Linked DNA regions of Xenopus tropicalis. The protein of the gene in region 1 interacts with the protein of each later gene in a biochemical or structural test. Links are inferred from orthologs where the notes say so. Each region holds a gene or a part of one and is shown on either strand. Other genes may lie near its edges.

Evidence for each region.
Region 2: of the proteins of atm (region 1) and atr, one has a biochemical effect on the other in vitro, tested with the Homo sapiens proteins (2 studies listed by BioGRID, with this or other methods). The link is inferred for Xenopus tropicalis from reciprocal best matches to the Homo sapiens genes ATM and ATR.
Region 3: of the proteins of atm (region 1) and rbbp8, one has a biochemical effect on the other in vitro, tested with the Homo sapiens proteins (4 studies listed by BioGRID, with this or other methods). The link is inferred for Xenopus tropicalis from reciprocal best matches to the Homo sapiens genes ATM and RBBP8.
Region 4: the proteins of atm (region 1) and smc1a form a complex in vitro, tested with the Homo sapiens proteins (2 studies listed by BioGRID and IntAct, with this or other methods). The link is inferred for Xenopus tropicalis from reciprocal best matches to the Homo sapiens genes ATM and SMC1A.

The regions. Positions count from the first base shown.
Region 1 is NC_030678.2:159,880,339-159,888,225, forward strand, and holds part of atm (serine-protein kinase ATM), read right to left. Parts: intron 7,305-7,887; coding exon 7,139-7,304; intron 4,718-7,138; coding exon 4,479-4,717; intron 3,910-4,478; coding exon 3,740-3,909; intron 3,408-3,739; coding exon 3,241-3,407; intron 2,255-3,240; coding exon 1,883-2,254; intron 1-1,882.
Region 2 is NC_030681.2:119,659,823-119,668,334, forward strand, and holds the start of atr (serine/threonine-protein kinase ATR), read right to left. Parts: upstream 4,245-8,512; 5' UTR 4,198-4,244; coding exon 4,136-4,197; intron 2,930-4,135; coding exon 2,838-2,929; intron 1,695-2,837; coding exon 1,545-1,694; intron 415-1,544; coding exon 1-414. UniProt on the Homo sapiens protein: Serine/threonine protein kinase which activates checkpoint signaling upon genotoxic stresses such as ionizing radiation (IR), ultraviolet light (UV), or DNA replication stalling, thereby acting as a DNA damage sensor.
Region 3 is NC_030682.2:108,887,877-108,896,558, reverse strand, and holds the start of rbbp8 (DNA endonuclease RBBP8), read right to left. Parts: upstream 5,414-8,682; 5' UTR 5,195-5,413; intron 1-5,194. UniProt on the Homo sapiens protein: Endonuclease that cooperates with the MRE11-RAD50-NBN (MRN) complex in DNA-end resection, the first step of double-strand break (DSB) repair through the homologous recombination (HR) pathway.
Region 4 is NC_030684.2:23,833,431-23,841,317, reverse strand, and holds part of smc1a (structural maintenance of chromosomes protein 1A), read right to left. Parts: intron 7,711-7,887; coding exon 7,452-7,710; intron 7,370-7,451; coding exon 7,229-7,369; intron 7,119-7,228; coding exon 7,036-7,118; intron 6,936-7,035; coding exon 6,728-6,935; intron 6,618-6,727; coding exon 6,432-6,617; intron 6,273-6,431; coding exon 6,093-6,272; intron 5,927-6,092; coding exon 5,780-5,926; intron 5,631-5,779; coding exon 5,493-5,630; intron 5,182-5,492; coding exon 5,065-5,181; intron 2,486-5,064; coding exon 2,379-2,485; intron 2,070-2,378; coding exon 1,928-2,069; intron 1,756-1,927; coding exon 1,610-1,755; intron 1,517-1,609; coding exon 1,363-1,516; intron 1,266-1,362; coding exon 1,155-1,265; intron 1,001-1,154; coding exon 844-1,000; intron 351-843; coding exon 196-350; intron 119-195; coding exon 1-118. UniProt on the Homo sapiens protein: Involved in chromosome cohesion during cell cycle and in DNA repair. Central component of cohesin complex. The cohesin complex is required for the cohesion of sister chromatids after DNA replication.

The DNA.
Region 1 (7,887 bases):
CAGCTATTGGGAACATGTCAGTTACTCTTACTCTACAGTCAGGGCCGGAATTTCATTTTTGGGCACCCAGAGGCCACCCCAATTCACATTTTATGAGTGGCTACCCTTTCCGCTGCACTGTGGCTACTCTTTCTGCTGCACAGTGGCTACTCTTTCTGCTGCACAGTGGCTACCCTTTCCGCTGCACAGTGGCTACCCTTTCCGCTGCACCGTGGCTACCCTTTCCGCTGCACCGTGGCTACCCTTTCCACTGCACCGTGACTACTCTTTCTGCTGCACTGTGGCTACCCTTTCTGCTGCACAGTGGCTACCCTTTCCGCTGCACCGTGACTACTCTTTCTGCTGCACAGTGGCTACCCTTTCTGCTGCACCATGACTACTCTTTCTGCTGCACTTTGGCTACCCTTTCCACTGCACCGTGACTACTCTTTCTGCTGCACAGTGGCTACCCTTTCTGCTGCACCGTGACTACTCTTTCTGCTGCACAGTGGCTACCCTTTCCACTGCACCGTGACTACTCTTTCTGCTGCTCAGTGGCTACCCTTTCCGCTGCACCGTGACTACTCTTTCTGCTGCACAGTGGCTACCCTTTCCACTGCACCGTGACTACTCTTTCTGCTGCAAAGTGGCTACCCTTTCCGCTGCACCGTGACTACTCTTTCTGCTGCACAGTGGCTACCCTTTCCGCTGCACCGTGACTACTCTTTCTGCTGCACAGTGGCTACCCTTTCCGCTGTCACGTGGCTACTTTTTCTGCTGCAAAATGGCTACCCTTTCATCTGCACCGTGGCTACCCTTTCTGCTAAATTTACTGGGGGTGTCTAATATATGGGCAGCATTCAGTGAATTTAGCTTTCCTTATCCTTTAAGTTCCATAACATTGTTTTTTGTACACTTGAGACCAGAGGGCTCATTTACAACACACAGAGAAAGGGGGAGAGGGCAGAAAAGCAGAAAAAGTGTTAATTACAAGACGGAGCTGCTATCTCGCTCCCTTCCCATTGTTCTGCTGATCGGCTGCTGGGAGGAGGGTGATATCACTCCAACTTGCAGCTCAGCAGTAAAGTGTGACTGAAGTTTATCAGAGTACATATAAAAAAATCTGTGTTTTTAAGGGCTCTGGCACACGAGGAGATTTGTCGCCGGCGATTTTTAAAAGAGCGATTTGGCGACAAGACGAGCGACAAGACGCCAATGGAAATCGCCAGCGTCAAAACATACGAGGCTACTTCAAATCGCCTGCTGTTTCAAATCGCACACAGACCCTTTTCTGAGCGACTTAAGTAAACATGAGGGGGGGGTTAACTGTTGAGTGTACCATGGGTAGCAGATCGCCTGGAGCTCAACTCGCATGAAATCTCTTCGTGGGTATTGTCGTGGCGACTTGTCGCCAAAGCGCCAGGAGGAAAAACGCAGGCGACAAATCTCCTTGTGTGCCAGAGCCCTAAAAAAACGGATTTCAATGCAGGATTCTGCTAGAGAAGCTCTATTAACTGATTCCAGGGCTCTGATGAGCTATATCCTATTGGAAATTGGCCACAGGTAGTTTCTAGCTCTGTTTACTGCAAGGTTATATACAGCCAAAAATGCAATTATGTGCAATGTGCCACACCCTAGTGATACCTAAAAACTAAATAACATTTACTTAACTTATCTCACAGCTGAACAGCTGTGATTACACTGAAGGCAGCACTGGTCAGGGTCTGTGCAAAAAGAAAGAATATAGGGTTCTATATGGCTGCACCCTAAATCTGAAGGTAATTTTTTGGTGATAGAGGAGAAAAGTCCCAGCAGCAAATTCTCACAACAAAACTTTAAATTTTGAAACATATCTTTAAAATACAATTCGACCTTTAGCTTCTTCTTAAAACTCTTTAAGCACCTGGATGGTTTGGCAGCAGCTCCTGAAAAAATCTTCCAGAAATCTGTGTCAGCCGGTATTAGACCTCCTTGTAAGATGGAGCCCAGTAAGGCAAAACTTTCCTCTTCTGTTTGGGGAGAACTGATGCTACGCAACGTAACAGCCCAGATTTTAGACCACAGTTTGTACAGATCTGATTTTGGTGTGATCTTCACATCTGTTTTTTGCTTTTGACAAACGGCAACCTCTTTTAGGCAGCGAAGCACATAAGCGGCCCTCTCGCCTCGTCTCTGCTGGGCAAGTAACTGGTGTAGAACCGTCAGTAATGGAGTCAGCTCATTGCTAGGCAGGCTCACTGGGTATCGGGCAATCAAGCAGGTTGCAATTTGTAACCTAGAAACGTTGAATACAGAAACTGTCAAATAACAAAATGACCACAACTGCCAAAATCCAAGTAACTTTATTCATTTTTCTCTCTATATGATCACTTAGGACCTGGGTGCATAAAGGCAAGGGCTACTTCTGGCACTGCCTAGTAGGAAACTTAGCCAAAACCGATAGGGGTGGCATACCATACCCCCCTTGGGCATTGTGATACTTAAGTAAAAGCAGTAGGAAAATCCCAGCTCTTGTATAGGAAATCAGAATCCAAGTGCTGTTTCAACAGTAGATAATCCTTGGTGGTCCACTACTGAACCACTATTGAACCAATAGGAAAGAGCAGATGTCAGCATATTATAACTTCTGTCTGCAGGAAAATAATTTTCAGTTACCTAATAATCTTCTCTGGACAAAAGTAATTGTATTTATAATATGCTGAGATCTCATCTAATTTGTAAATATTTATTTTATTATGCTTCACAAATAGTGTATAAATTTATATATTGAGTGGGGCCACCCTGAAGTGCTTTTGGAGTTGTTTTTAGGACTGAGATATTAGTTAGTGCTATGTGCCTATGGATTCTCATACTATTGTGAGAGCACCCATCTTGACCACATGCATTTTTCTGCTTAGAACAGCCAATTCTTAGCAACTTTTCAACTGGTCTTTTTGGTTTCTTTATTTTTTTTTATAGTTTAATTATTTGCCTCCTTCTTCTTTCAAGCTTCCAAATAGGAGTCACCAAATAGGGGGTCCATGAACTATAGCTCTGCCAAGCTACAATTTTATTATTAATCATTTTTATTATTTATCTTTTTATTCAAACTTCAAAGCTCCTATTCATAATATAGTCTCTAATTCAAACCACTGCCTGGTTGCTAGGGTAATATGCATCCTAGCAACCAGATAGCTGCTTTAATTTAAATCTGGAGATTTGCTGAACAAAAAGCTGAATAATTCAAAAACCACAAATGATAAAACATGAAGTTCATATTACCAAGGGATGATATCAAAATCTTTATGGGACTTCTGAAGGTTGTCACGTAGCACTTCCCACCCAAGTTCAATCCTTCTGCGCTTGCTGGGGGCTCCAGATGGTTCCCTTTGGGTCACTAGGAAAGCAGCCTGTGTGATATCCAGCACCTGAGTGTCTTCAGTGAATAGCTGGACAAAGAGAAACTGGGTTGTTATTGGCTGGAAGGACTGATCTTTTCACTATAAAGCAGATGTGGACATTGAACGGGCTATGGTAGGTAGATGGTATTAATGTCTATAAGCAATAACCTTTTCCACAATGCTCTATGAAAATGGAAAAGATAAAAACCAGTTCAACAGAGACCAAGACAAGAGGTCAGAATTTATTCGTTTTCCTAAAATGTGGTGCTGTCCTCCTTGGTGGACCAGAATTTACTGGTACCAACAGCAACATATTTTTAAAGCTCAATTAAATTAATATATATTGCTCAGAAGTTTCTGGCAGAAAACAAAAAATTTACCTGATGACAAATGTCAGCCATCAACTCAATCAAGTTTTCCTTGGCTGCAATGTTTCGGGAGCCTGAGGAATATTTCCCTCTGCTGCCTATCTGGCTGATCTCATTTACCAGTGTGTCATATAAGTTGTACAAGTTCCTTTTCCATCTGTCTGGATCAAAAGCGTAAGCACCTGGGTAAAAATAAAATCATTAAAAACATTAATAAAGCAAATTCCATATGTCTTTATCAGAGCTTTCCAGCGACGTTTCAGCACTTCACCCTTCCCATATTAAAGTGGTTGCTGTTTACTCTTGAGTTAGATTTTAGTATATTGTAGACAGTTATTTTGAGACAATTTGCAACTGATGATCATTTTCTATTAATTTGAGGTTTTGAATTATCTCTTTGGAATTTTAGCACTTATTTGGTTGCTAGGATTCAAATTACTTTAGCGACCAGTAAGTACGAATGAATGAATGAGAGACCTAAATAAAAAAATAAGTAATAAAAAGTAAAAATACCAATAAAATTGTAGCCTCACAGAGCAATAGTTTTTGTGGAAAAGATTTTGTTCGATCTACTCTGTAAATGTTTGGGTTCTTAAGGGGTCTTAAAGTATAAAAAGAGTAAATGTACTTGTAATGTACTCAGAACTACCCCTTATACAATTCTAGAAGCAGCAAGCATATCACAAATCTCAGGGGATTCAACAACCACGCATTGCATGGAAAGTTAAATGTGAGGAATTAGAAGCTGCACCTTCATCTACAGTCTTGGCTCCTTTTGGATGATGAATTCGAAGAAGTAACCTGAAGAACTCCACAATCTCCTCCTTCAGTGCATCTTTAGGCCTTTGAATTGTCCAGATCCGCAATACAGTGAGGAACAAGTCCTCCCCCAGCCTGCACACTCGCATCCGGCAATTCCCTGAGGCGCTGGTAAGGAACACATTCAGAGCAGAGAGGATCTGATCCAGACCAGGTGGGTTTCTCTCATCCCTGGCAAACAAAGCAACACCAAAACATTACCATACTTTAGAGAAGGAACCAGTCAAACATCTATTTCTTTTCAATGATTTTTATTTGCATTTTAACTTTTACAGGTTGGATATCAATATAATGTCATTTTGTATTGAACAATCTATTTCCTTAAAGAGAGAAGAGAGAAAAGAGAGAAGAAGGAAGAGAGAAGTGGTAGTCAAACATCTATTTCTACTACTGTTTAAAGGAACAGTAACACCAAAAAATGTATATATTTTAAAGAAATTAAACTATAATGTACTGCTGCCCTGCACTGGTAAAGTTGTGCGTTTGCTTCAGAAACATTACTAGAGTTTATATAAACCCTGGTGTGTAGCCATGGGGGCAGCCATTCAAAAGAAGAAAAGGCACAGGTTATATAGCAGCTAACAGATAAACCCTGTAGAATACAATGGTGTCTTATCTGTTATCTGCTATGTAACCTGTGCCTTTTCTCCTTTTTTCCAGGTTGAATGGCTGCCCCCATGGCTACACAGCAGCGTATTTATATAAACTATAGTAGTGTTCCTGAAGCAAACACCCTAGTTTTACCATTGCAGGGCAACAGTACATTTTATTTCAATTACTTTAGAACACTTTCATTTTTTGGTGTTACTGTTCCTTTAAGGAAACTAGCACATACTAGTACCCAATAATGATGTACTAAAGTCTCCCTAGTGTCCAACATATTTTTGTAAGAGAAGGTTTGTCTGTTTGCCCTCCACTGAATCAATTTTTGTTAGTTTTTTTCATGCTACCTAACCAGTCATAATATATTTACGAGCTATCTTTGTAACCTATATCAGCACAACTCTAGAAAGAAATTATTGGTGAATCCTGTGATTAACTACCGATGTTGGAGTCAGGTTGTTGTTCACCCAAAATGTGCAGAAACATGTAAAAAATATACTAAAATATATGCTGTTTAGGACAAGGAACATGGGAAATTTTGGCAAAACATATGCATCACCGCTTTATAAAGTTGGTTGAAGTCGCTTCTCAAAAAAACTAGGGGCTACGGATAAACATCCTGTGTGCAATTGCCAAAATCATTCAGTACACCCAATTTGCAATTTAGTCAGGATTAGTTTGTATTAATAATGAATGATTGTAGTTGCATTACTATGGAACAGTCAATTAGGTAAGAATGAAGAATTGTTTATATTTAAATAATATACTGTGGGCACTGGCATTTCTGATATCAAACCATTCTGCGTAGGGCCTTATGGATAATCAACTAACAAATGGAATGTTTAACCTCTTGTTAAAGGAGAACTAAACCCTAAAAATGAATATGGACAGAAATGCCATATTTTTTACACTGTACTTACTGCACCAGCATCTCAATAGCAGCAATGATCCAGGACTTTTAAACTTGTCACAGGAGCTCCCCATCTTGGAAAGTGTCTGAGATACTCCCATGCTCAGTGCACTCTGGGCAGCTGTTGGAAAGCTAAGCTTAGGGGTCTTTGAAAATTATCAAGCAGAAAATGAGGTTTGCCTGTCATATAAGTTAATGCTACAGGGCTTATTATTAAATTCTGATGATAATTGCACTGGTTTCTGAGTTACCATGGAGTAGTTATCTGTATAATTATCTGTCGGTCCCTAAGCTCAGGTAAGTGACAGCAGCTCAGAGCATGGGCAGTGAATCAGCAGAAAAGAAGATGGGGAGCTACTGGGGGCATCTTTGGGGGCACAGATCTTCGCTTCTACTATAATTAAAAGTGTAAGGTTAACTATAATTAGATTCTTACTGCATTTATATATACATATATGGAAACATAACAAGGCTGATGAGTACTAAGAAAGAGATACTTGAGGCATTGCCCTGGACAAGGAAACTGGGCACAAGGATAGGAGTTCATTTTTCATTTACAGCCAGAAATTCTAAGGACCAGATCAGATGTACCCAGAAACCTAACAAAGATCTCAACAGAAGAAACATTCAGCTGCTGACACCAACAAAATGAAACACTATAGGCACATTTACGTCTGCAACTGCAATTTCAAGGGCAATTGCCATGTTTTTTTTTTCCCCCAGAATGAAGAGTTTTTTACCTGGACCTGAATATTTTTGATGTCTGCATGGCATCTTTTCTGGTGTTCGGTTCGTGAGTGATGCGTGTAACTAAAATGCAGTTATTAACACAGATCACTAAAAGTTTGCTGGACCGACTGCCTGGTCAGGAGGTTGCAGTAGCGCCGGGTTCCCCTTCGTCAATAGGCTTTAGGTTTTACATGCAACTGACTGTGGGAAGAGTGCAGGGACTTGACAGCACTTGCAGACATACGAGAGCTCTTATATATTTATCCCATGAAGACATGTGAGCTGTCACCCATATAAAATCAAAGATCTTGTACCACAGTAGCGCTGCTTTCTGGGTAAGAACCATTTACCTGACTCTCTTCATTGTCTTTGAAAAAAATTGGAAGAACAGGGAGTGCAGTCCGTCAGTCTGCTGGCAGCATCCTCTGGTCAGAGTGTGAATTATTCTAGCAACTAGCAAGCGGTTCACAGTGCTCTCTGGTTTTAGATACAAGCTGAAGTAGAGGGTCACTAAGTCTGCAAACAGATACATAAATATGTGTGGAGACCAGAGCAGCACATACACACTGCAGAGCTGGCTGAATGGATTATTTCTGGCAGCAAGGAATACAAAGGCATAAATAGTAAAATAAATCTTTGCATATAACCATTTCAAGATATTAAGAACTTTAAGATATCCATTTAACAAAACAGGGATTCTATGCATCCCTACTTTTAAATAAAACTCCCTGCCCCTTCTGCTTCTATAAGGCAGGGTTAAAAAGGCATTACAGTGGTTTGACTGGCTGATGGCACACCACAATCTCTCCCAGACAAAAACAAAAACTACTACTACAAATCCCACTGTGTCCCACCATAAGAACATCAGCAATAACAAAGCATTGCAAAGTATAGCAAAACACTGCAAAAAATGTATTCATGCAAAGTTTTGATGTCCGGGAGAGAAGCCATCCTTTTGGTCTACCCATGAGCAATATTTATATAAAAACAAAAAAGTTGGGGAGCAATGCAAGCATGAAAAAATGTTCCTAGGGGGTGACCAATAACGGCTGTTATTTGGTAGCCCCATGGGGACAAGCAGACTATATGAGGTTCTGTT
Region 2 (8,512 bases), on another chromosome or scaffold:
ACCCGATGCCCCAAAGAAGGAGGTTCTGCCTTTGGAAAAACACCGGAAAGATATCATTTTCATTATCCATCAAAACCATTAGCAGAGTGGATTCTAAAGGCTCAATGCACTGCATGTTTAATAGTTGAAATGGAGCGCATCGCAAATAAGCTTGGTTCTCTGATGCATTGCTTAGAAATCTAGAGACGGTCACAGGCCAAACTATGGATTGCTCCATGTTCTGTTCATGTATGCAGATAAGATCTTCAAAAAGATGTAATAAATCTTTTGTAAGAACACCAAATAGGAAAGGACTCTTGTTCTTGAAAAGAAAAAGCAGGGAGCGGATGACTTCAGCAATTTTTCTATGCAAAGCTTTGCAGCTTGGTGTAGCCCCAATGCGTAGGACCCGGGAAATGATCCAGTTGCTAAATGCTTTAAAAAAAAAAAAAAAAAAAAGTGAGTCAGAACATTTTTCACATATAAATACGTGTTCACAGATAACATATGAGTCATTATCACTGCAAATAATCACATTTCCAGAGATATTTGCGAATTTTTTTTTACCCATAATGTGTTTTTAGAAAGCATCCCAACACAATACATCATATTCATCAATACAGGCGCAAAACTTGTGTCCCATTTAGTAAATTAACAGTACCAATGAGAGGACTCCCGATGGCACATAATGAATAACATCTTTGATTGAGTATTTGATGCTAGAAATACCAGTAGCTCCAGGCAGATGTGCAGTACAACATTCCCTTCCTTCACAGTACACTGCACCTTGCACACTATTGTACAGAGCATAGAGAGACTAAAACTGGTGCATTTTAATTGCCATGATTCTAAATCAAAATTTGATGCTAGCACTGTGCCTTGTGATCAGAAAAAAGCCTTAACATGTTTAATGAAGTCTACTTTGTGTTAAACATATGAAGCTGTATATAGAGAAATAAGTAACTCTGTGTATCACGGATAGGACTGTGGTTAGTAAGGTCTGACATGGAATTGTGTTATGCAAGCAGGAATACCCATTTTGATCCATTAATATGACAAACACTGTGCATTCTATACCAATATACATAGGAACAAGACACCCATATACACAAAAATGTAAAGCTTTACGTTTTCCTTTAATGCCCTTTACCCGCACATATCGCTTTAAGGGACAAATGAAAGCATGAGCTGCCTATCGAAGAAGGAAAGGTTTATTCTAAAAAATGCTTTACCATACCCGAGAAAACAGCCCTAGATGCTTTCTCCATTTTAGTTTTGTTTGACTTCATTTCCTTGCCTACATCTCTGTGTTCAGATTACAGTAGAGAGGAGGGGGGGGGGGGAGAAGGGAGCAAGCTGCTCATGCTCAAGCCCGAGCCCTGGAGGTTTGAGTTGAGAGAAGGAAGTCTAATGCAGAAGCTCATGTGTACAGAATAGAAGGAAAGAAAAGCAGTGTTTCTTTTAACAGAGCAGTACAGTGTTTAGTTTTCACCTTTTTTTCTCCATTAACCATTTATCTGGAGTAGCCACCAATGATCCCCAATGAACAGTCAAAAAAAACTCACCAACACAGTTCTGATTGGTTTCGGCAGACTGATCAACATTATTTGCACTGAGAAACATTAATGGTGAAGATTTCATAATGTGTTGAATAAAATCCAGCAACATTACAGAACTTGGCTGAGAATCAGTATTCTTTGACAGCTCCACAGCAACTATAATCAAACAGAAATACACGATAATGATTTTTTTTTTCTGCATGACAATTAGCCTAAACAGTACAATAAGAACGATCACAGACAATGAACCCTTAAACCCTGCAGATTAAACATTTTAGATGCCTGGAGGTCTCTTAGTAGGAAAGTTGTTTTACAGCTCAGCCATCTGGCACTTTATAACATATTATTTATATACAGCTGCAATATATTTGAACTAATTTTCAGCTTTTCTATGATAGGTGAGCCCCCAAGCCCATATTTATATTTATCATTTTGTTATTTGATCCCTGCTACCCTAAGACCTTCCCGTTTTTGGAAACCAAGCATGAGCAGATCCAATAAAAGGGTGCCTGTGCAAACACATAAGAACAGATAGATCAGTCTATGTTACAGTCTCCAGATAAATCCCACACAATGGAAAAAAAGGGTTTAGCAGGAAGGTAAAATAAACAAGAAACCTTTTTTCTTGTATGTTTAATGTAGGTTTAACATACCATTTCACTCGTACACAATAGTTAATAATGTGTATCGCTATGCATGTTTCAAGGATATTTACAAATGAGCATGTCAGTAATTAAAGTAATGAGCTATTTCATTAGATGCTTATGAGATTCTGTGTATACGTTAAACTGCCCTATTGTTGGAACAGATTTGGAAAAAGACACAGTAACCCTTACAGCACATTCAACCAGACAGTGCAAGGCTCCAGACAAATTTAGGACAAAAGGAGACAGATCATCTCCCTTTAGAGGGCAGTGAAATGCATTTCTCAATTTTTCATGAAAATTTGTCAAATGACTTGTTGAGAATGCTCAGTCGCTGTGTCATCAATCTGCATACCATTAATTCTATTGTCAATCACGGTGTGATTATTGTTATAATATTTTAATTTAAATCTAAATCTATCTAAAAAAGGTGGCCATCCCCTATAATAAGTTTATATAAGGTCTAGACATCTGTAGCAACCAATCAGCAGGTGGCATTTACTGGCCACCTGTTTAAATGTAAAAATCTTATTGGTTGCTATGGTTTACTGCACCTGGGCAACAAGTGTGCCATTAATACATAGATGCATTTTGGATCAAATAACTGAGTCAGCATTGTAAGAATGTAATGCAACATATAAATTAAAAGACATACCAACGTCCACATCTGTCAGAATCCGGTCTATAAACTGGCAAAGGATTTGTCTTGGTTTCTGAACAATAGTGTTATATTCATCTGCCTCCGCACTGTTAATTAAGAAATGGAAGGTTAATTATATTCAATAAATAAATAATTATTCACTAACTTCTTAGACAATATGGATGGACAGCCTCACAGCAAAAAACTCTTTCTACTTTAATATGGAACTTCTTATAAAGTTGTCAGACTGGGTAAATGTTTCTTTAAAATGTATACAATATGTTGTTGACGGTTAAAATATTATTGGTACAGAAGTGTCAGGTGGTTCCCCCAAGTGAGTGTATATGTGTGTCCGTGGCCTGTGGTAGGTGTAGGCCCCAGGCAATGTCACTAGTTGCGACCAAAAATTTATTTTGGTGACCCTATAATAAAGTGTCCTGTTTTACTAATATATGTAATTATTATTATTTTTATTATTTGGGACCCCACTGAGTCCTCTACATTCCTAGACCCAACTACAGCTGCAGAGTCAGCTTCGACAATAGAACCCCCCCCCCCCCCAGCAGCCTGAGGGACAGGGAATATGGAATAGCCGGCTGATAGTTAAATCCTAAGTATACAGTAGCAGCATGATATAGAAAGCCCTAGTGAGGCTCCAGCAAGGAATGTACTGGGTTAATACCCTTGTTGAATGTTGCACCAGTGGATATCCATTAGACATGATTCTCTCGGCAGATAACCTTTGGAGGACATTGATGGTGCTGTGGTTGAAATCTGAGAATACTAAAATCAGCTGTAACTCAGTTGCTGTCTAACTGTATAGTATACTTATTAAACATCTATTCGCTGGAACCTAAAGTTGTCATTTCTTTTAACAAACAGGGCTGTATGTGTGAGCATCACTTTAGCTGTCACTTGTTACTATGCAGCTCATTGCTGGTACTTGTTGGATGCAAGCAGTGAATTTATACATTTGCTTGCACTCACATCCCTGCAGACTTACTCACTGGAACACAAGGAAGTATCAAACCCAGTACTGAAGAACAGCACATGCCTCAAGTCACAGAGAAATCATTAGCCCAACAAGACTTGCAAGAGGGATTAGTTGAGCCATGTTTCCTCTCCATCATTACTGTAGCCAGTCATAGTCACATACTGAAGCACATAAGGTCTTTCTATATGTAATAATCAAACACCGGCACCCCGGTTAGCTAGCGGATACAGGGAGTTGCAGCTGTGAAACACCTGGCGAGGTGGAACTGTCTCCACAACTACTGGCAGCCCGAAGTCATGTCCAGCCCGGGAGCTTTTACCTGGCAAGTTCCCGCAAGGCCGGGATCATGGAGGCCATTTCGAGCCCGGGGTCAGCAGCCATGGTACCGGCTCAGTCCCAGAGCTAAAACCCCCCAAAAACTACAGAATCCGAATTTGCGTAACGGAGGCGGGAGAAAAACACGGTACGGAGGCCCTGGTGTCCAAACTTCCTGTATATTCGTTTGCACATTCTCAGCTGTAACTTGCTGCGTTTCTTTCTATGCTTTGTCATGAGTTACAGCTATCGGCGTTTCCGTGTGTTGTTTTCAAGGCAATGCTGCAAATTGTAACTAGTATCACTAATACTAGTATAAGCCTTTTTTCGCAGGCAGTAACAGACTGACCTTTTTATTAACTCACTTTATATTTATTTCTTTCTTTATTTAAATTCGTTTTTACTTGCTTTAATTAACCCGCCCCTATCTGCAACATAGCTCTTAATTAAGTAAAATTTAAAGGACTCCCCCCCCCCCCTCAATCTGAGGCAAATTGGAGAGGCTTTAAATGGGGTTTTTGCCTTCCTCTGGATTAACTAACCAGCAGATTCCTGCTGCCCTTAGGGGCCCATTCACTAAATCACAAGTTTTTATTTTGAGAAAAAAATCATATTTTTTCTAATTTATAGGACTTTTCGTAATGACCGCGTTAATATCGTTAAAATTGCACAACTTTTTTGTGGTTTTCGTTAACTTACACGAAAATGTTGTATTTTTCACAGAGACTACAACCATTTTGGAATTCATTCAAGCATTGGTATTGTGACTGTCTTTTGCCCAAGTTGGATCTGTAGAGTGCCATTGACAAGGCTTCCAAAATCATGCATTGAAGTTTCAAAGCCAAAAAGGTTTTCGCGTCGCTTACAATTGTTCGGATATGAAAATTTTGTGACTTTTGGATTGCAACCACGATATTTTCGTTCAATGGAGCAAAAATCTTCGTGACATTTTCGCACATCAGAAATTATCGTGGCTACTCCGAATTTTTGCCAACCATGCTTGTAACCACCCAAAATTAGTTTCTTTAATGAATGGGCTCCTAAAACTTGAACGCTATATATGTGTGTCTTTTTTTAACCTAGATTACAGTATAAAGTTAATACACAGCCTAAATACTTGAGGCCTAATTTATGATTGCTGGAATAATCATAATTCAGGCCCCCTGTATCTTCTTGGAGAACCACCCACTTCACCATAGCACCACATGTTGGCAGTAATATGGACTTATTAATGCTTGTGGTATTAGGGCTGGTCGTGCTCATCACAGATGTCGCTGGTTGTGATCACATCATCGCTGGTTGTGCTCATCACAGATGTCGCATCTTGGGCCATTGTTGATAGTGTGCCCTCGTAGGTGTTTCCAAACTTAGTCACTTAGTCTCTTCTCTGCCAAACAGCTAACAATGAGAGTTAAAGGCTGTTGCCATGAGCTTATGATTAGAAATGCAAATTGGGAAATATGAATTAACGATACCACAGCACACTGGTAACAGATTCACTATCTGCAATATTAATAGCAACAATACACAAATATACAGTTTAAACAACATACCAGAACCTTTTAATGTGGTATACCAAAGGATTCACTTCTACACTGAGTCTGCATTTGAGTCCCTGTGTTGGTGAAATACACCAAGGGTTCTAAGCAACTCCACTTCATGCTGGAACCTTAAACTGCTCACTAAAAACCCTTGTCATGCTAAGTTGAACATAAAATCTATCCCTCATCTGACTAATACCCATTTAGAAGGTCCATTTTTTCCAACTTCTTCCAAGGCCTTCACTACTGCAGGGCACTCTTCACTTTAACTTTACCCTATTCTCTAAACACACATCCCCACTCTCTAAGGGTTATCCAAGCGAAAGATAATGACTCATACCCTGTATTTTGTACACACCAGGGGTCACTTTATATACCTGTTTATATGAGACTCTAACCCACTCATAGGGTATGACATCACCAGGTGGAGCTATACAAGCTTTCCTTCCAACTCTCACATAATACCTCGTCCAAAGGGAAAATCACTCTGCACACTTTGGGACTTAATGCTGTAGGAGTGAACTTTTGCTGTTCCCCTAGATCAGTGATCCCCAACCAGTTGCTCATAAGCAACATGTTGCTCACCAACCCTTTGGATGTTGCTACCAGTGGCCTCAAAGCACAGGTGCTTATTTTTGAATTTCTGATTAGGAGGCAAGCTTTGATTCCATAAAAACCCAGTGTAATTGACAAACAGAGCCGTCTGTAGGCTTCCAGTCAAGATAGGGGCTGTCAGATTGCCAATTATAGCTCTCATTTACACCCCCAGGACCTTTTTTTTTTGTGTTGCTCTCCAAAACTTTTTCCATTTTAATGTGGCTCAGGGGTATAAAAGGTTGGGAATCCCTGCCGTAGATTCTGTTTCTGTGCTGCAGGTTTCCCCTGGGTAGATCAACTTGCTCTTCCTACCTTCCTCTCATTTGCCCCTTGTCATGCTTGCATAGGAAATTCTGTAAACACAGGTATGAAGTCTATTATGGGAATGCTTGGAGTTTTCTGGATAAGGGGTTTTTCTGTAATTTGGAGCTTTGTGCCTTAATAACAACCCAACAATTGTTTTGCCATCAATATGGATTTATGCTAGTTTAGTTACCGTCAGTACAATATACTGTTTTTCCTCGAAGAGAAAAAGCAAAAACAGTTAACATTTTTTAACTACTTGTTTAAATAAGACACAATATGAGTCAATTGTGAACATAGCACATGGTGAAAAGTGCACTTCTTGGATGCCAGTTGCCAAAATTCTGTGTTTTTCCGAGAATTCCAACAGCCAGGGGCTAAATTGCATCTGGTACAAATGCATGCAATCCACCAAAACAAATGCTAATTACCTAGTGAATTTCTGTGAAATGGGTGCAAAGTATGGGTGGCATATGTAGAGTGAGGATGGTATCACTTCCTGCACGCCAGTTCTCATATTGGTGTTTGATGTGCACTGATACAATAATTCAATAAAATAGATACAGCATACAGTTTTGCCCTGTTGATTGCAAATTTCTTGAGTGAACCACTTTGACTGTATGAAAGTGTATATATATTCTGGAGAAAGAAGACTTGTTACTTTTCTTGTGATTCCCAGATAAATCTTCACTAAAATCGCCAGTTCGAGGGCAACCTACATTTAAAGACGTCAGAGAAATCTAATCCTTGGCAACTACGAATCATGTGAAACAGTGCCTGACTAGCTCCCCCTTCCTGTCTATCAGTTTGATTGGATTATGGCTGTGTTTTTTTCAGATGGCACGTTTCTTGCACAGTGCTGGTGCCTAGAAGATCCACAAATACAGAGAGCTGCAAAAGTTACTTAGGAAAAAAGGCAAAACAAGCAGTTGTTCCATTCAGAGTTTATATTAGAACATGCAGGTAGGTTCTTGAGGTTTTCTTAGTATATTGATTATACATGCATTCATTGCAGCCATACTCTATTTAAATGCCCAAACAGAAATGTCTTATTTATTAATATAATGCCACCTTTCTTGTTATAGTTTGTTCATGACAAACATGCTGCTTCATTAATCTGTTTTACCCAGGACTCCAATGGCTAGTGCACATTTAGTACTTACTACACAGGAAAATAGGACAAGGGGGTTAATAGTCTGCTCCTTTCCCAAAGTTGTCGTTGTCTTTTCCTTTCCCAAAGGCTTCATGTCAAGGCTGAGTCATGATTCACTTCAGTAAACCAAGCTAAAGTCAACTGACAGCTAAATACCCGACTGTAAAGTTGCATTGGTAAAGCATGCCAAATGCTAGTACAGATTTATAAAACTTCACTATCAAAAGCTATAGTTGGATTTCTGACCCTTTTGAATTATAGCTGCTGCTGTCCTGAAAAATTATGTTAATAAAACTAAGAACTGTTTCAAATCTTCATTCTTGCTGTAAATTATTGCTTTAGTCAACATTTTATATATTAATTCCCTTATATTTTCCTTATTTTTTATTATTGTTTGGAGTACAATTTTGTATACATTTATTAAATGGTTATATTGTCAGGGAAGGAAATGTTATCACATTAGCTTAACAGGAGATCTTTACTGTCTTTCTTCTTATCTAATATTAAACTGTTCTTTTCCTTTCATTTATTTTATTGATCATCGTTGCCCTTATCCTACTTCGATAACATAATTGTCATGTGGTACACAAAATTGCACCATATATCCAACCTAATTTGCCAGTTGCCTACACAATAGGCATTATAATAAAGTGTCTATACATAATCTATATTCTGACTTTGGAGCCTGTAGGTAGACAACCTTTGCATTGGATACAAGAATGGACACTGGATTTATCAACTTTCTTATGTATATGTGCACTTAAGAGAAGAGACCTATAGGAAGATT
Region 3 (8,682 bases), on another chromosome or scaffold:
GCTACTTAGTAGCAGTTACTTGTCATGACTACTAAACCCCAGAAAATACCTTGCCATAGACAATACTGAGAATTACCTCTGCTAAAACACACATAGAGACAATTATCAGTAAATGATCAGCATTGTCTTTTTTAATAGCTGTGACAACAAGAAGCTGCTACTAGTAGCTCTGTGTGTCCTCACCTATAGACATTCTGTGCATGATCAGCATTGGGTTTTTTTCCACCCCCCGTATATAAATATGGCCCTGCATATAGTAGCACAGTATGGTGATTAGACGATGCGTCATATAACATTGACTGCATGTAATACCCAGATGCAGGGCCGCCATCAGGGGGGCACAGGGGGTACTGTTGTGCCAGGCCCGGACGATATCCTCGCTTTAAAGGGGGCCCGGCCGTGACAGGTTTTTTTTTAGCTCGGGCCCCCTTTAAAGAACTCCGGGCCCTGGCTGTCATTGGTGGCCAGTGGGAAATTTGATTGGTTGCGCCCCGTGCGTCCATACGCACGGGGCGCAACCATATGAAAGGTGCAGATCAGCGGAGGGCCGGGCACAGATCGCGAGGACGCAGAAGAGGAAGGTGAGCTGGAGGAAGCCGCATGGGAGCTGGAGGGAGTCGCTGGGTGTGGGGCGGGGGACTGGACGAAGTCGCTGTGGGGGAGCTGGAGGAAGCCGCTGGGAGGGAGCTGGAGAGGGTCACTGGGTGTGGGGGGGGAGCTGGAGGAAGTACCTGTTGGGGGGGTCGAGGAAGTTGCTGGGGGGGCTGGAGGAAGCTGATGTTGTGGGGGGGGGCTGGAGGAAGTTGCTGGGGGGGCTGGAGGAAGTTGCTAGGGGGGCTGGAGGAAGCTGATGTTGTGGGGGGGCTGGAGGAAGTTGCTGGGGGGGCTGGAGGAAGCTGATGTTGGGGGGGGCTGGAGGAAGTTGCTGGGGGGGCTGGAGGAAGCTGATGTTGTGTGGGGGGGGGCTGGAGGAAGTTGCTGGGGGGGCTGGAGGAAGCTGATGTTGTGGGGGGAGCTGGAGGAAGTAGCTGTTGGGGGGGTCGAGGAAGTTGCTGGGGGGGCTGGAGGAAGCTGATGTTGTGGGGGGGGGCTGGAGGAAGCTGATGTTGTGGGGGGGGGGCTGGAGGAAGTTGCTGGGGGGGCTGGAGGAAGCCGCTGTTGGGGGGGGAGCTGGAGGAAGTAGCTGTTGGGGGGGGGTCGAGGAAGTTGCTGGGGGGGCTGGAGGAAGCTGATGTTGTGGGGGGGGCTGGAGGAAGTTGCTGGGGGGGCTGGAGGAAGTAGCTGTTTGGGGGGGCTCGAGGAAGTTGCTGGGGGGGCTGGAGGAAGTAGCTGTTGGGGGGGGCTGGAGGAAGTTGCTGGGGGGGCTAGAGGAAGCCGCTGTTGGGGGGGAGCTCGAGGAAGTTGCTGGGGGGGCTGGAGGCAGTCGCTGGTGGGGAGGGAGCTGAAGGAAGTCGCTGGTGGGGTGGCTGGAGGATGCTGGGGGAGCTGTGCAGATGTTGGGGGGAGCTTGGGCACATATCAAGAGGGGGGAACCGCAGGAAGCCACTGGGGGGAGCTGGAGGATGCTGGTGGGAGCAGGGGGGAGCCGGAGGATGCTTGGGCAGGTGGGAGCTGGAGGATGCTGGTGGGAGCAGGGGGGAGCCGGAGGATGCTTGGGCAGGTGGGAGCTGGAGGATGCTGAGGGGGAGGACAAGGGAGGGGGGTTAACTGGAGGATGCTGGGGAGATGCTGGCTACTAATGTTTTAGGGGGCCCCGGGCTACCACTGTTTTAGGGGGCCCTGACTACCAATGTCTGTGTGTCCTTTTTACTAATGGGAGGGGCCATTGAGGGGCAGGACGTGGGTGGAGGGGGGCCCAGAAAATTTTCTTGTGATGGGCCCCGTGATTTCTGATGGCAGCCCTGCCCAGATGCATGAATACCCACAAAACAAACTTGTAGTTTGCTAAGACTAGTTGGGTTAGTTGCCAAGGTTATACAAGTACCAAGTTTATAAGTATTTCATCTATACATATTGCCAGGAGTTGCAATTTTTAGTGCATCTGCTGAGAAATTTTGTAAAGACTGTATCAAAAAAGCATTATCCATCTATGACCAGGAGATGGCACTCTTGGGTATATATGCTTGTTGCGCTTGTCAGTAGTAGTGCTAGCAATATATCAGTTTTTACAAATAATGTTCTCTGCCCAAAATAAGCCACACACTATTTTAATTAACTGTAAATAATATTAAATCATAATATGGGCTTCTGATAGCGGCAAACACAAAGGATGCAAAATATGCTGAAGTACTGGTGCTTCCACGTAGGTGACATTCCAGTATTTAATAGTTCACATTGTGCTTACAGTCATGTGTTTATAGGCAAAGAGAATATCCATACCTGTTTAAATTCAGCACTCACACAAGTTCATAAAACTGTTTGAGGGTTAAAGTTGCCTATAGTTTAAATAAATATTTTTATAGCCATCTGAAAAAAGGAAAAACACTGGCAGATATGAAACCAGTCATAAGGTGTGCTCAGGCTACATAACCCATTGCATACCAACTGCAATAACTGGGGGGTGCCAAAAAAGGTTAGGAACCCTCTAGTGCTTGTAACTTTCCTTCTCCTTTAAAGGAAACATTGACCTTATATATCTGTATTTTGTATCCCCTTTGAATTGATATTAAGATATTACTTATTGTATGCACAGAGCATTCTGTAAAGAGTTGCACAAATGTTCTAGTGCTATATAACTTGTGTAGGATGATTGACATTTACACCTATATGCTCTTACTGCAAATAAATAGAGAAACACATCTTTGAAGTAGAGTGTATTTCTCTTCAAATATTTCAGATATAACCCTTTGATGAAAAACAAGTTACTTTAAGGGTGCTAGAAGGCATGTTAGAGCAAAGCAAAGAGAATTTTGGGGGATTTGGTTAATGGTACCACACCTACTGAGAGCATGTACGGAATCCTAGCAGTGAGTGCTATACTTTTCAATGGCACTCTCGAAAGTGGAGTAATGGAAAGTACTTGTTTAACAACTGCATTACAGTAATGGAAATATCTCACGAGTAGACAAAGGAGCAGTGTTAATAATTTGGCCAAAATGTACCTTCCGTTGGACTCCATGTTTCCCCCACTTCCTTGTTTAGACTATTGCCAATACAGAAGCTACAAGATGAAACCTATGCCAGGGTTAACTATAATATGACACCTAGTTCAATTGGGACATTCAGGTATAATGTGGGCTGCATGTGAATGTTCCACCCCTCTCACACTATTGTACTAAGCAGATATGCAGATAGGTAAGAGGTTACCCTGTGGTGCTCCTTGGCTGCGTTGCACAGTTTTTTTTACCAGAGGAGGACAGGGGCAATTTTGAAAGCTTCCTATATTGCTAGAGAATAGGTGACAGGCCTATAATGGGATTTCTTATTATTAATGCAAATGCTTATATAATACAGGTATGGGACCTGTTATCCAGAACCCCAGGACCTGGGGTTTTCCAGATAAGAGGTCTTTCTGTAATTTGGATCTCCATGTGTTAAGTCTACTAAAAATAATTTAAACCCAATAGAATTGTTCTACCTTCAATCAGAATTAATTATATCTTATTTGGGATCAAGTACAAGGTACTGTTTAATTATTACAGGGAAAAGGAAATCATTTTTTAATTTAAATTATTAGATTAAAATTGAGTCTATGGGTCTTCCTGTGATTTGGAGCTTTCTGGATAACGGGTTTCCAAATAACTAATCCAATACCTGTATAAGGAATTTTCACTTGATGCTATGGCATGCAGGGACATACTGGGCTTCATTTAGTATCATAGTTACATAAATGTGCACACATTTAAATGCATTAAAATACCATATGCCATAAAATACCAAATGCATGTGAATAAGATGCTTCAATGAAAGTGGTGTTTGGGGAATCCTTTACTATACATGTACTACCATAATAAATTCATGCTCCATTCACCCTTCATCCATCCTGACAAGGGCACAAGTTTGCTCAAAAGTTTATACTCTAATTTTCTGGTGCCAACTATTTGGTGGAAACACATGGCAGATTGTACTGTATGTATATGGCAGTGTTTCAGGCATCCCTAGAAAAGAATGGAGGACATTGCTCCAGAATGCTTACAAACAAAGATAGGAAGGAAATAAGTGATAGCTGATGACTAAAGACAGTATAACAGAAGATCCAATCTTTTTATTAGGTTATTTCTGAACACCAGTAATCCCCTCAATATTAACACATGTACACTTTTAATGAGATTGTCACAATTTAAAAGCCAAGAGAAAACAACCAGACTCATTTTCCCTGGCTGCTAAAGTTTATATTTATAGGTTACATTTGTTTTCTGTCCTAGAGGTTGTGATCTAGGCAAAAGATATTGTGCTTTCTGCCCCCAGGCTGTTATTGAACTACATTCCCTGAAACACACCGGAAGACTAGTACTTATGTCATTTTGCCAACAAGATAATTCTTTAAATCAAAAAGCCTTGTGCAAAGTTGTGCCGAAAACTCTGCGACCCCACAGGTGTATTTCTTCCAACAGTCCCCATTTATCATTCTATCATTTATTTAAATCATTCGCAGATTCCATTTGTCCTGAGCTAAAGAATGTTCCAGGACACATAGGCATGAAACAGCCTGCCTGCCTTCATTCCTTTCTATTTAGTTTATATTGTGCATAATACTTAACCTTGGACAGAGTTAATCCATTACCTGACTGTGAATATGCCCCTGTTACTATGCATGCACTTTGGGCTTCATTCACACTGTCTGACCAGCAGAAAAATGAACTAAAACTGCAATACAATATAAGCAATGTGAATTCATTGGCAATACTGCACAGTTACACAATATTTGCTCCATTAAATTAATGATTACATTTACTGCTAGGAAATGTGACTGATTCAAAAGCAGTTAATACATTTAAATATAACATACCATTAATACCTTTTCTCTGTATAGCCAAACAAAACATATACAGTATTGCAGATAATGTTGTGAATTTTAGTCACAGGTACAAATTTTTAATTGTTTTTATTGCAACAATATGGCCTTCAACCATAACCTTGACTTCTTTGAGCAAACCCTAGACCTTGCACCCATACATTTAAACGGATGCACTGGGAAAAATATAACAACAACAAAATAAGTAGACAATAAAAATGTAAAAATGACAGAGCTTACCATTAAGCTGAAGTATGTGAGTAGCTGTTTGGGGATACTTAGTGTCTACTGCTTTCTTCTCCTTCCAGCCTCTACCTAGGCAACTAAGAGAAGAACTCAGACTGAACCATCCTAGGGCAAGTGTTGTTGAAGTGCATGTGTGCTAAGCTGCGCCTCACATACATACAATGTGCAATGGATATCCTAATATGCCTTTCATTCAACTTGCTGGGCAGGTTTCAGCATTCTGTGTAACATGGAATGATACCAGAATTTGTTGGCATAAAAGTCCAGTCAAACCGGTTCCTCAGTCAGCCAAAAACCAGTCCAACCAGTCTGCATCAAAGCACAGAGAAACATGCTGTGGCTGAGCACCGCTAAGCTCCATACAGTTCTCTGAATGATTGATTCATCAGGCGCCTCCCAACAAATGGGGAGAGAATGTTGTAGCCTCCAGCAAAATAATTTTGCAGGCTGTTGGGGGAGTGGCAAGAGTGTCTGTGTCAAATACTGACAGATTCTACCGATTCTACTGCTCTCACAATATCTTTTGTTACATATAAATGAATGCAAATTGCACTTATATAGGTAAGCATTGCGTTGCAGTATGAGAGCATATCTTTTGTACACAAAACATTCCTTCTCTACATAATGACCTTGATATACAGTAAATGTGTGTGAGTGGCCATATTGTTGCCATGGCAATGGAAAGTGCCATAGATAAAAACAGTACCACCTATTTATGGCCCCTAGGGGAACTTAAATATTGTAAATATTTACAGTAACTGAGGCAAGCATTATGACAGCTCTCACTGATATGCATCATTTATTCCACTATAGCTGTTACAAATATGCTGGTCCTTCAGCTGTACTTACATAAAGTATGTTGATTACTTTACTTTGAAAACAGGCTCATTTACTGTGTTTAAATATTGAATTACACTTCAACTCATCTGAGTTTCAGTTTCCTAAGTTATAGTCAGAAATGTATTCTTGAAAGACAAAAGGCTCATTTTTGAAGATAAACTGTTGCATCTGTATAACACAATAGTTTTAGTTATATCCATAACTGAAGTATAAAAAAGGGATTCTTACCATGGATAATAAAGGTACAATATTCCTTCCTGTGGGCTGTAGAATGTGTGTTGTCAAGGGTTGCCACCTTTTGTGGAAAAAATGGCTTCCTATATTTTTGCCTTTTTATCCTAATAATAACACTAACATCACACAAAATCTTTAACGGCCAGGCGAAATTACACAAAATCTTTATTGGCAACCCTAGTGCCGTCCCAGTAGTTAATAGTTATTTATTATGTTGAAGATGTAATTCAAAATGTTTTTATATGCATGTATATTGTTACATGGTCACCTTGTGACCAATGGCGCATTACAAGGTGTTTAGTGTCTTTGTCTGTAAACCCCCCTATTCCCATTCATTATGTGTTATGTAAGTTTCTCCCATCCTTTTTTCCTGTTCCTGCTCCGAGTGTAAAGGAGCTGCTTCAGGGGTTGGGAAAAAAGATTCCTGTTGACCTCAGCATTTGTACATCCATTCTGAATTAAGAGCGTTTGTGGATTCCAAGTATCTGGTGAGTTCAGTTATCTGGCTAAAATTGCCCACATTGGTTGTGCCCAGCTCCTTTCAGAACTAAACTATCTAGAGCAGCATGGTTGCTTAAAGGAGAAGAAAAGGGAAAAACTAAGTAAGCTTTATAAGAAAGGTCTATGTTAACACAGCCATAAGCACTCACAGAAATGCTGCACCCTCTATCAAAAGAAACACAGGGTTTCTTGTCTTCTTTTGTGTACACATGTTATTCAGTGTCAGACTTCCTCTCTCAGAAAAATCCTTCATTCCCTGGGCCTAAGTCTGTGCAGCTCTCCCCCATCTCTTGCTCCCCCCTCCCATAAGAATTCACTCCCCCTCCCATCAGATTTTAGAGGTGTACTATGCTACCAGAAGCTACAGAGACCAAGCTAAAATGGCTGCTATCTTAAACAAATGGAGGGAGCTTTCTACAGCTGTTTTCTCAGGTATAGTAAAGCTTTCTGCTATACTAAATATAGTGTTGTAGCTTGCACTAATGTCACTAATCTATTGGCAGTAAAATGCCAAAATAACTTTCCTTCTCCTTTAATGTCAGTGGTATTAAAAGTTGCTTGCCACTACATCTACTTCTTCATAATAAGTAATCAAAATAAAAAATCACCTCTACTGAATATTTTACTTATATGGTAACACTACTTTCACTGGTAACATCCACAGTTCTAATCTAATTGATTTTTTACAAGCATATGGTGGTGTAGGGAAAATATTTTTTTCTTTGTAATTAGGACATAATAGTCTTTGTCTAACAGAAAGAGTCTTATATTAAGAAGAATGCACAAGCTAGACATGGCTTGAGTTTAAATATTTGCCTCTAACTGTTAGCAGACTTCAGGTTAATTTTGACAGTTTTATTTCCTGAGGGCCTCAAAGAATGCTGCATGCCTTGTATATTACATGATTCTGGTATACAGCTGTACTGAAAATCTAGAACCTACATGACTACAGACTCACTCAACTAGAGTAAATGCAGCCTAGAAGTTTGAAGGTATAAAGAGAGATTTCCAACCCTTTTTACTTGTGAGCCACATTTAGATGTAGAAAGTGTTGGTGAGCCACATTTGCATGAAAAAAAATATTTGGGGATGTCAAATAAGTGATTGGCCATTTGGTAGCCCCATCTGGACTGCTTACCTGCAGGAGGCTCTGCAACTTGCCTCCAAGCCAGGAACTAAAAAATGGGCATCTATTTTAGGGCCACTGGCAGCAACATCAAAGGGGGTGATGATGCTCCTGAGCCACTGGTTGGGGATTACTGGTATAAAGCATTCAAGCATGGGAAAGATAAAGGTTCAAAACACATTATACTAAGGGGCAGATTTATCAAAGTGTGAGATTGGAGCTCACCACAGTAAAGTTAAAATACTTTATTGGGGGAAAGTAAGAGTTCACCATTTGATAAGTATGCTTCAAAAACTCCCGTAGAAATGAATAGAAAGTGGTTGAGGTTTTCTGTGGCGATAAACACACATGTATGGACATGGACTCTGCTAATATTTAAGGACTTTGTTCTGTTGTATTCATTTTAATACTTTTGGTAAGAAAGCGGTCTTACCTTCAAGTGCAACATTTCATTATATTTTGTGGGCTTTCTGCTTGAAGTAGCGCAGGTTTGTGATGCAATTGTGACTTTCCTTCTCCTTTAAGCTAATCCCATTTACATGGGTTTATCCCATAGGCTAAAGCTCACCCACTAGGTTTTTAATGCAGAAGCCAGTATAATAGCTGATTAGATTCCCAACTACAGACCGGTTTTGCCCTTCTTGGGGCTCATCATTGTAGTGCAGGGTTTTTTGATCAGCTTAGGTAGAGCCACACGTGTGGATTCACAAACAAATAATTAGGGTTGAGGAGACAGCTTCATACAGATTCAAATAAACAAAATGAATTCTGGGAATGAATT
Region 4 (7,887 bases), on another chromosome or scaffold:
CAGTTTTTTCTCCTCCAGACAAGTTGTCCATTGGCCGGAAGCGCTTACCAGGCGCCACGCAGTTGTAATTGATCCCATCTAAGTAAGGCTCCTCTGGGTTCTCTGGTCCCAGAAAAGCCTGTATGAGGAAACCGTGTCAGAAAGCAGAGTATAGCAACAGCCAAAAACAAATACATAGTGGTCTTAGCTTGTTACCTGGGCACTGCTGTTTCTAGAGAGGGCCTTGTAAATTTCATCAATGTTTGTGGCAACAGACTCAAAGCATGCATTAAACCTGTCAAATCTCTCCTTCTTGGTCTGCTCAAAGGCCTGCTTAGCCTTCTTGGCTCGTTTTCGAGCAGCTTCAAACTCTGTAAAGGGGAAAAAAATCATAAAATTTATGGACCAATTATTAAAAAAACTAAAAAGGGCAGTGGCATGGTTTTTGCACCTAGCCTAGTTTCCTCTGGTAAAAAAAATTAAGCACAAGGCAATATTTGCCCATAGGTAAGGTTATGTATCTGGCAGACCCAAGGAACTGGCTAGCAATGCCCAATTTTAGAAATCACGTACTTATCTGAAGCTTCAGTATTACATGGATATAGGCCTCTGCGGTTGCATACAATTGTTTTTAGGTATATAAATGCTGAGAATGAAAAGCGATACCATGACCTTCTGTCTTTTGGAAGCCAAGCATCAGCATGAAACTAACAAGCACCAATAATGTAACAGTGCAAAGAAGGTCAGCTGTAAAATAATTTTTTACTACTTAAACACACATAATATTTGCTGCCATTTTGAACTACAACTACATTGTACAACCGGAGCAAACCCTTGTAGGTTCATTGCATCTGCATTACTCACCGTCTGATGTCTCTTGGAACTTATCTCTGACGCTCTCAAGTTTCTCCATGGCCTTCATGTTGGGAGCAGCAATCCTCTGTAAGATGCTCTGCTGCTCATTTAGCTTCTGATGCAATGCGCTCATCTCCTGTTTGATGTCATCATCGGCCACTGCATCCTAAAAGGAAAAATCAATTCCACCTATGAAAACAGGATTCATAACCAAGACAAGCATACAGCAAACTACCCAGCATGCATGCAGAAAGGCATAGCAACTACCTTTTTAGCCACACATTTAATTCTGTGAATTGTCTGTTAAAAATTGTACTTACTTTCAAATCCTCAGAGAGGTCACTGTAATCTATTTCAAGTAATGCCTCTTTTGCATAAACAGTAGAGGATCTCTGGGAACTGCTGACAGACTCCTCTCCTTGAGACCCACCCTGAAAGAGAAATGATGCTGCATCATAAGGATTGCTGCCATACATAAGGATTGCTTTAAGGGGAAAGGGAAAATAAAAGGACAAAGAATATTCAAACCTCTTCTTGACTGATATCATCCATGGTGCCTTTGGACAGTGGCAGTTTGATATCCTGCATCTTGCAGGCCTGGAGCAGATTATGGCGGTCACTGCGCTTCTGTTCGAGCTTTGTTTCAATGGCGGTGACTTCCTTTTGAAGGTGGGTGACTTCCCTAAGAATAATCATGCATTTGTTACATTATATTGGACGAGACGTTGTGCTTCATTACAGACTTCATTAAGCAAACAGAGAAGGAGGTACTGACTTGTTGGCACTCCCCAGCTTTTTACGGATATCTTCCATAAGATGGTTCTTGTCGTTCACCTCTGACTTTTTAGCCAAGTGCTGGTTCTTCAGATCCTGCAACTGGGCCATCGTCTCATCGATTATCTTCATGTGTCTCTGCTCTTCCTAAGTATACAGAAAGTTTTTAAAGTATTTTAAAGGTGCCATCTTTTATATACCATTCCACTGAACTTTCGGTGGGCACATTTTGTGTCAAGATGTGACAGCACAAAAATATCAGTAGGCCCGAACAAGCCTATGAATTGGTATTTTGTTCTTCGTTCACAGTCATCATCACCTTTTTGAGTTTTTCTATTTCATTATCATCTTTCTTTACAGACTGCTCCCATGTCTGCACTTTGCCCTGGTCCTCTTTCAGCTGGTTCTTCTCGTAGTCTAGCTGAATGCCCAGACGGGTCTTCTGATTTTCAAATTCCAACCTGTAGTGAAAGAACAGCAGAAATTAAATCAAGATCTAAGGTCTGTGAAATAAAAAGACATCATCAATGGATTATGCAAAAAAATAAAAATCTACATTAATGAAGACTATTTCAATTGTGTGCTGAAAAGCAGCATAAATAACTGAATATTGCAGAAAAGAGTTTGTATAGTGGAAGTAGAATATTAGTGGTTTTTCCCAAGGACCTGCAACTATAGTGCCTGCCCTATTACTACACATTAGTCCCATGTGACATCACACTTAGGAATACTTACAAACATTTTTATTTATTGATGCAAAAGGCACCCACCTTTTCTTGGCAATCTCATTTTGCCTCTTAACCTTCTCCTCTTCAAACTCTCTGATATTTCTGACACCTATTTCCCGACAGAACTCTTCAAAAACCTCATCTTCCACCTGGAAGACAATAATGGTATATGTTAGGTACAGACTGCTTTAGTACATTTCCCATATACCTGCAATATTTGTATTTTTTTCTTACAGTTGTAAAGATAAATGATCCAGTGTCTTCAGCAATAGCAGGCAGCCCCTTCCTAAGCTGTTCAGTAAACTTAAGTGGCGACCGGCTATCCTGTTCAGTAGGAAACCTATCCAATATCATCAGAAACAAAGCAGGGGGGTTGACGGAGGCTGCCTGTTGCAGCAGAGGAAACCAGATTGATTCTTTTTACAACAGTAAGAAAAACAAAAAGGGATTTTTGTCTTACCTGTAAAATCCTTTTCACTCTTCACTGAAAGGGGGACACAAAAGCACTGAAGGATTAACACCACCTTCCATAAGGAAAGGAACTGGAACTACCCAGAAAGTACTAAAGACGGTAGAAGAAAATAACTTTATACATAAAAAAAAATATAACCGTGGTATGTTTGAACTCTGCGTTGGCAACTTTTTACATCCAGCCCTGTGCAATGGGGTGAGAAGAATTCCCAGAAGGCAAGGGTGGGGGAGACTCCCCCACCCTAGTCCTGATGGAAAGTAAGAAAGGGAGGTTGGCAGGACAGGGCTGTAAGCTCGGAGACTCTTCTGGCTGACATGATAGCGAGCAGGAAGGCTGTTTTCATGTGAGAAGTGTCTCGGATGCCACTGCAAGGGGCTCAAAAGGGGGCCCCTGGAAGAAAGAGTACCAGATGGAGGCCCACCCCGAAGTAGCAGGGCCCGACGTGGGTATCCAGAGCAATCTGGGATTGGAATAGCACAGAAAAGGGCAGAGACCTGGGCCTTGAGAAAGGCGAGATGAGGCCCTTGTCGAGACCCTGCTGAAGGAAACCAAGGATGTGGGCTGTGTTGAAACGATGGAGAGGGAGATCCTGGGCTGAGCACCAGGAGTTGTAGGTCCACCACATGCAAAGGGGACGGTTTCCTGGCAGCAATCATAGTGGTGATAATTCTATCCCCAAACCCATGTTGATGTAGAACTAGAGTTTCAAGAGCCAGGCCATTAAATGAAACAGCTGAAAAATTTGGGTGGAACACTGGTCCTTGGCTTAGGAGATCTGGCCAGTCTGGAAGAGGAAAGAGGGTGGACTGTGAGAGATTGATGTCGGTGAACCAGGCTCTTCGGGGCCAGTGTGGAGAAATGAGGATGGTCCTGACCTTCTCCCTCTTGAGAATTTTGGGGAGAAGAGGAAGAGAAGGAAAGATGCAAACAAACTGGTAGGGCCAGGGGGCTGTGAGAGCATCTACTCTTATGGTGACTGGGTCTCTGGACTAAGACATGAAGCTTGGAAGTTTGGAGTTGGTTCTGGAGGCCACAAGACTGAGCAAGATCAGAGTTTGGAAGACCTCTGGGTGAAGAGCCCACTCCCCTTGGTCTAGGGTCTCTCTGCTGAGAAAGTCTGCTGTCCAATTGTCAACTCCTGGGATGTGCATTGCTGATATCACCAGAACATTCTCCTATGCCCAGGCAAGGATGCGGAAAACCTCCTGAACTATACCCTTGCTGCGGGTTCTCCCCTGATGATTGACATATGTCACCGCAGTGGCACTGTCGGCCTGAATTTTGATGGGCTTGCACTTGACAAGATTTGTCCAATGTAAGAGAGCTAGGCAAATGGCTTGCAGCTCTAGGACGTTTTTGAGAAGAGATTGCTGTGGTAGACATCTGCCCTGAGCTGTCTGTTCCTGGCAGAGTGCAGCGGATCCAGAATGAGAAGGAAAGGAGAGAAGAATAGGCGCCAAGGGTAGAGTGGGTGGAAGAAGAGTGCTACCCGCTACAGTACTTAAGGGAGGGAGCGAGAAGCAGTGAAGATGCTGACTGCAGGTCCGGTGCAGAAGCACCCTTATGGTCCCGGACTGCCAAATCACTGCCAAGTGGGAGAAGAAATTGGGAAAAAAAAAAATAAAGTAAAATAAATAGGAAAAAAGGGGAGTTATGTCATCCTCCTTCCATAAGGACACTAAAAGAACTGGGTAGTTCCAGCCCTCACAGGGGGGTGTAGCCTGTTGGGAGAGGCAGCCTGGCCCCCTGGAATAACTGCCACCGCTTGTTCTTTTAGTGTCCTTTCCTCCCAGAAAGTGGTGTTAACCCTTCAGTGACTGTGTCCACCTAAAATGAAAGAGAATATGCATCTATATTTAAAACGTGTTTCTTTTTAGGAAATCTATCAAAATCCCTCAACTTAATTGGATGACTTTACAACCCCTTTAAATACCAATATCAGATAGGTTGTGCAAGCAGCCATCTTTAGAAGGTCTGAGGTGATGAGTACGTATAGCAGCAGTTAAGGGAGGGAATGATGCCTCTTGTGCTGTTCAACCTAACGTAAGCAAGTGTGTATTGGGTCCTTGTAGGACTAACAAATGCTACCAATATTCTGACAACTAAAAGCAAGCAAGCAGTTCTTATTCCCAACCACTCAAACAGGTGAACAAAAATATAAATAAACAATAAAACACAGTAAATAAAAAAAAACTTTGAGTAAGTGTAATTTTGTGAAGGAGTTACATTTCCTTTAAGGTTCACACTGCTCCTTACCTGATTCATTTTCTCCTTCAGATCTTTCATTTCCCGTTCTCTGCTCTGAATTATCCGCTTAATATCATTGATACGAGGGCTAAAATTGGCCAGTTCACTCTCCAACTTGGATTTTTCCTGTTAGGGAGAGGAAAGAAATAAATAGATTGGGAAATCTCAGACACTATGACCAGGGGATCTCCTGCTGGGCCTCATCTAATTCAGACAATTCCCATCAGCCCATTTTCTTTTTATATATGACATCTATTACATTTACCACTGTCTAGAGGTAATAGTTATCACTGTGGACCCTCGATGTTGGATTTTAATACATGCTTGTGAACAACCAAGATCACTGTGCCCACAAGACAACTGCTGACAAATGCATAGAATATAATAGAACATATATGGACAGCAAAATAAGTTTTTTTGCAAATCTGGCTACTTACCTGCAAGTTCATAGCCAAATGCCGGGTTTTGGTTTGTTCCAGATCACTCTGGGAGTATTTCAGCCTCATCTGTAGACCATGGGCTTGGGACTGCACCTGTCTCAGTTCAGCCTCTTTGCGTTTGGCTTTCATTTGCTCCTATAAGAGATAAGCCCTTGTCTGTGAGACTCTCTTTGTTTGAGCCATGTAACCAAGATTTTTAGCTCCTTAGGTAAAAACGTGACTGGTACCTCCACAAGCTTTCTAAAATACTTAATTGGCGTGTCTTTCTTCTGATTAAGTCTCACCTTTAGTTCCTCTGTTAAGCGCTCCTTTTTCTCCTTGAGTTTATCCACTGCTTTCTCATCCCACCTCCTGGCCTTGGCTTTTAAGTCACTGGCACCTCCAGAGATCACACCAGACTTCTGGAATAAGGTTCCATCCAGGGCCACTGTCTGCAGAGCAAGAAGATACAGTGTTTTAGTTAAAATGTACCACATTATTCAGAGCCTGCTAAGATCATATAATACTAGAAATTCAGCTAACATCTCAGGCATCAAATAAAGAAATGGTTATTGCTTAAAATTCAATTCACTCTGCTCAGAGTTGCCTAATATTCACCTTATGCCTTTGATGTCCTCCAAAAGCAATCCTGCGTGCATCCTCTACATTGTCACAGACCAGGGCATTACCACAGGCATATTGTAGAGCTTTCTTGATATGCGGAGGCTCATATCGGATAACATCTATCACCAGTTTGGCTCCTTTCAGCTCCCTTAGCTTCTCATCTGTGGGTTTCACCTGGAAGTAAGTAAAAGACAATCAGCTGTTATCAGTGTTAAGATGCAGGTATAAAGTACCCAAACAGCATCACATTAACAGTAAGAATAAAACTTATCTATTCTTGGTCTACATAGCCAACATTCATTCAACAATAATAAGATAAAGTAAAATGGCAACCTCCAAATAATCAAGAGGAAGGAAGGTTTCGGGTTCTCCACGCTGCTCTTTGATGTACTGGATGCAGTCTCTTCCTGTCTTCTCTGAATCAACAATGATAGCATCCATATTCTTTCCAAGCACCTTGGTGACTGCAATCTGGTACTTCTTCTGGGTGGGCTGGCAAAGGTCAATCAGTCGACCATACTGAGGAATAGAAAAGGGATAAATTAATGCTTCCATTGTCCATGATCAACTGAGTGTCAATATGTAGAGGGGACAGATGCCTTTTGAAAATTCCAAATAATCAAACTTACCACAGATCCAGGATACAGTCGCTTTATGCTCTCCATAATCTCAGCTTTCCGCTGCTGTCGGCTACTCTCTTGCCTGTCAATCCTAGCATCTCCCAACTGCTCCATCACCTGATTCAGCTCACTGTTAATCTCATCAATCCTTCGCTTGGCCAGCTCCACCTCTTCAGTTAAGGTCTCCTCCAGGTTCTTCTGTTCTTCCAGTGACTGCCTGTAAGAAATAATATGACAAAGGTGATTATGTGTAGCTATGTTGTCCCTTACCAGTCCTAAAGATTGTGGAAGACTACAAACAAACAACCATCACATACTTGCTGGTGGCAATGTACTCCTCGAGTTTCTCAATTCTCTTCTGGTTCTCTTCTATCTCACGCAATTTCTGTTTAATTTTAGCCTAGAGAAGGAGCATATTCCATTCAGTGACTATTTCCTACTCCCAAGAACTAGAAAATTGGCATTCATATTTTAAAACACAATGGTTAAAAAGTCATCACTGGCACAAACCTCTGTCTCCACTTTTTTCCTCTCCTCCAGATCAAGTCGATCTTGGTCAGCCTTCTGGTCCCTGTTAAACTTCTCAAGCTCTTGGGCTAAAGTGGCTGCTCTCTTACTGGCCTCTTCCTTTAGGCGATGATATTTCTTGACCTAACAAGATCATTTTTGTTTCTCAAAAATCAGTGCTCCCTTAAACATAAGTCAAGCTGAACAGCACGCAAGAAGACCTTACCTGATTTTCTTCCAGTGTAAGATCCCGTCCTTGACTCTGACTTTCCTCCTCCATCCGTTCTTCAAACTCCTGCCGAGCCTTCTCTACAGAAAGCATTTCCTTCTCCAGTTCATCCATATCTGCTTTACGCTTCTTGTACTGCTTTTGGGCATTCTGAAGGGATTTTTTGGCTGCCTCCAACTTTTTGATTTTGTGGGAAGTGTTTTCCTTGGCCTTAATATACTGAGGACGTTTCTGATTCAGTTCCGCATCTTTCTCTCTTCGCAAAACCAAACAGAAGCAAGATGTTAAAATAATCCACAAGTGTAAACACTTAAACCATACATGGGAATACACTGTAGAGAGGCATCAAACGCAATCTGTTTTAAAGATCAATCAAAACACTGTTTACAAATATATGGGTAATTAATTTTTTACTTAAATGTAAGCAAAGAGG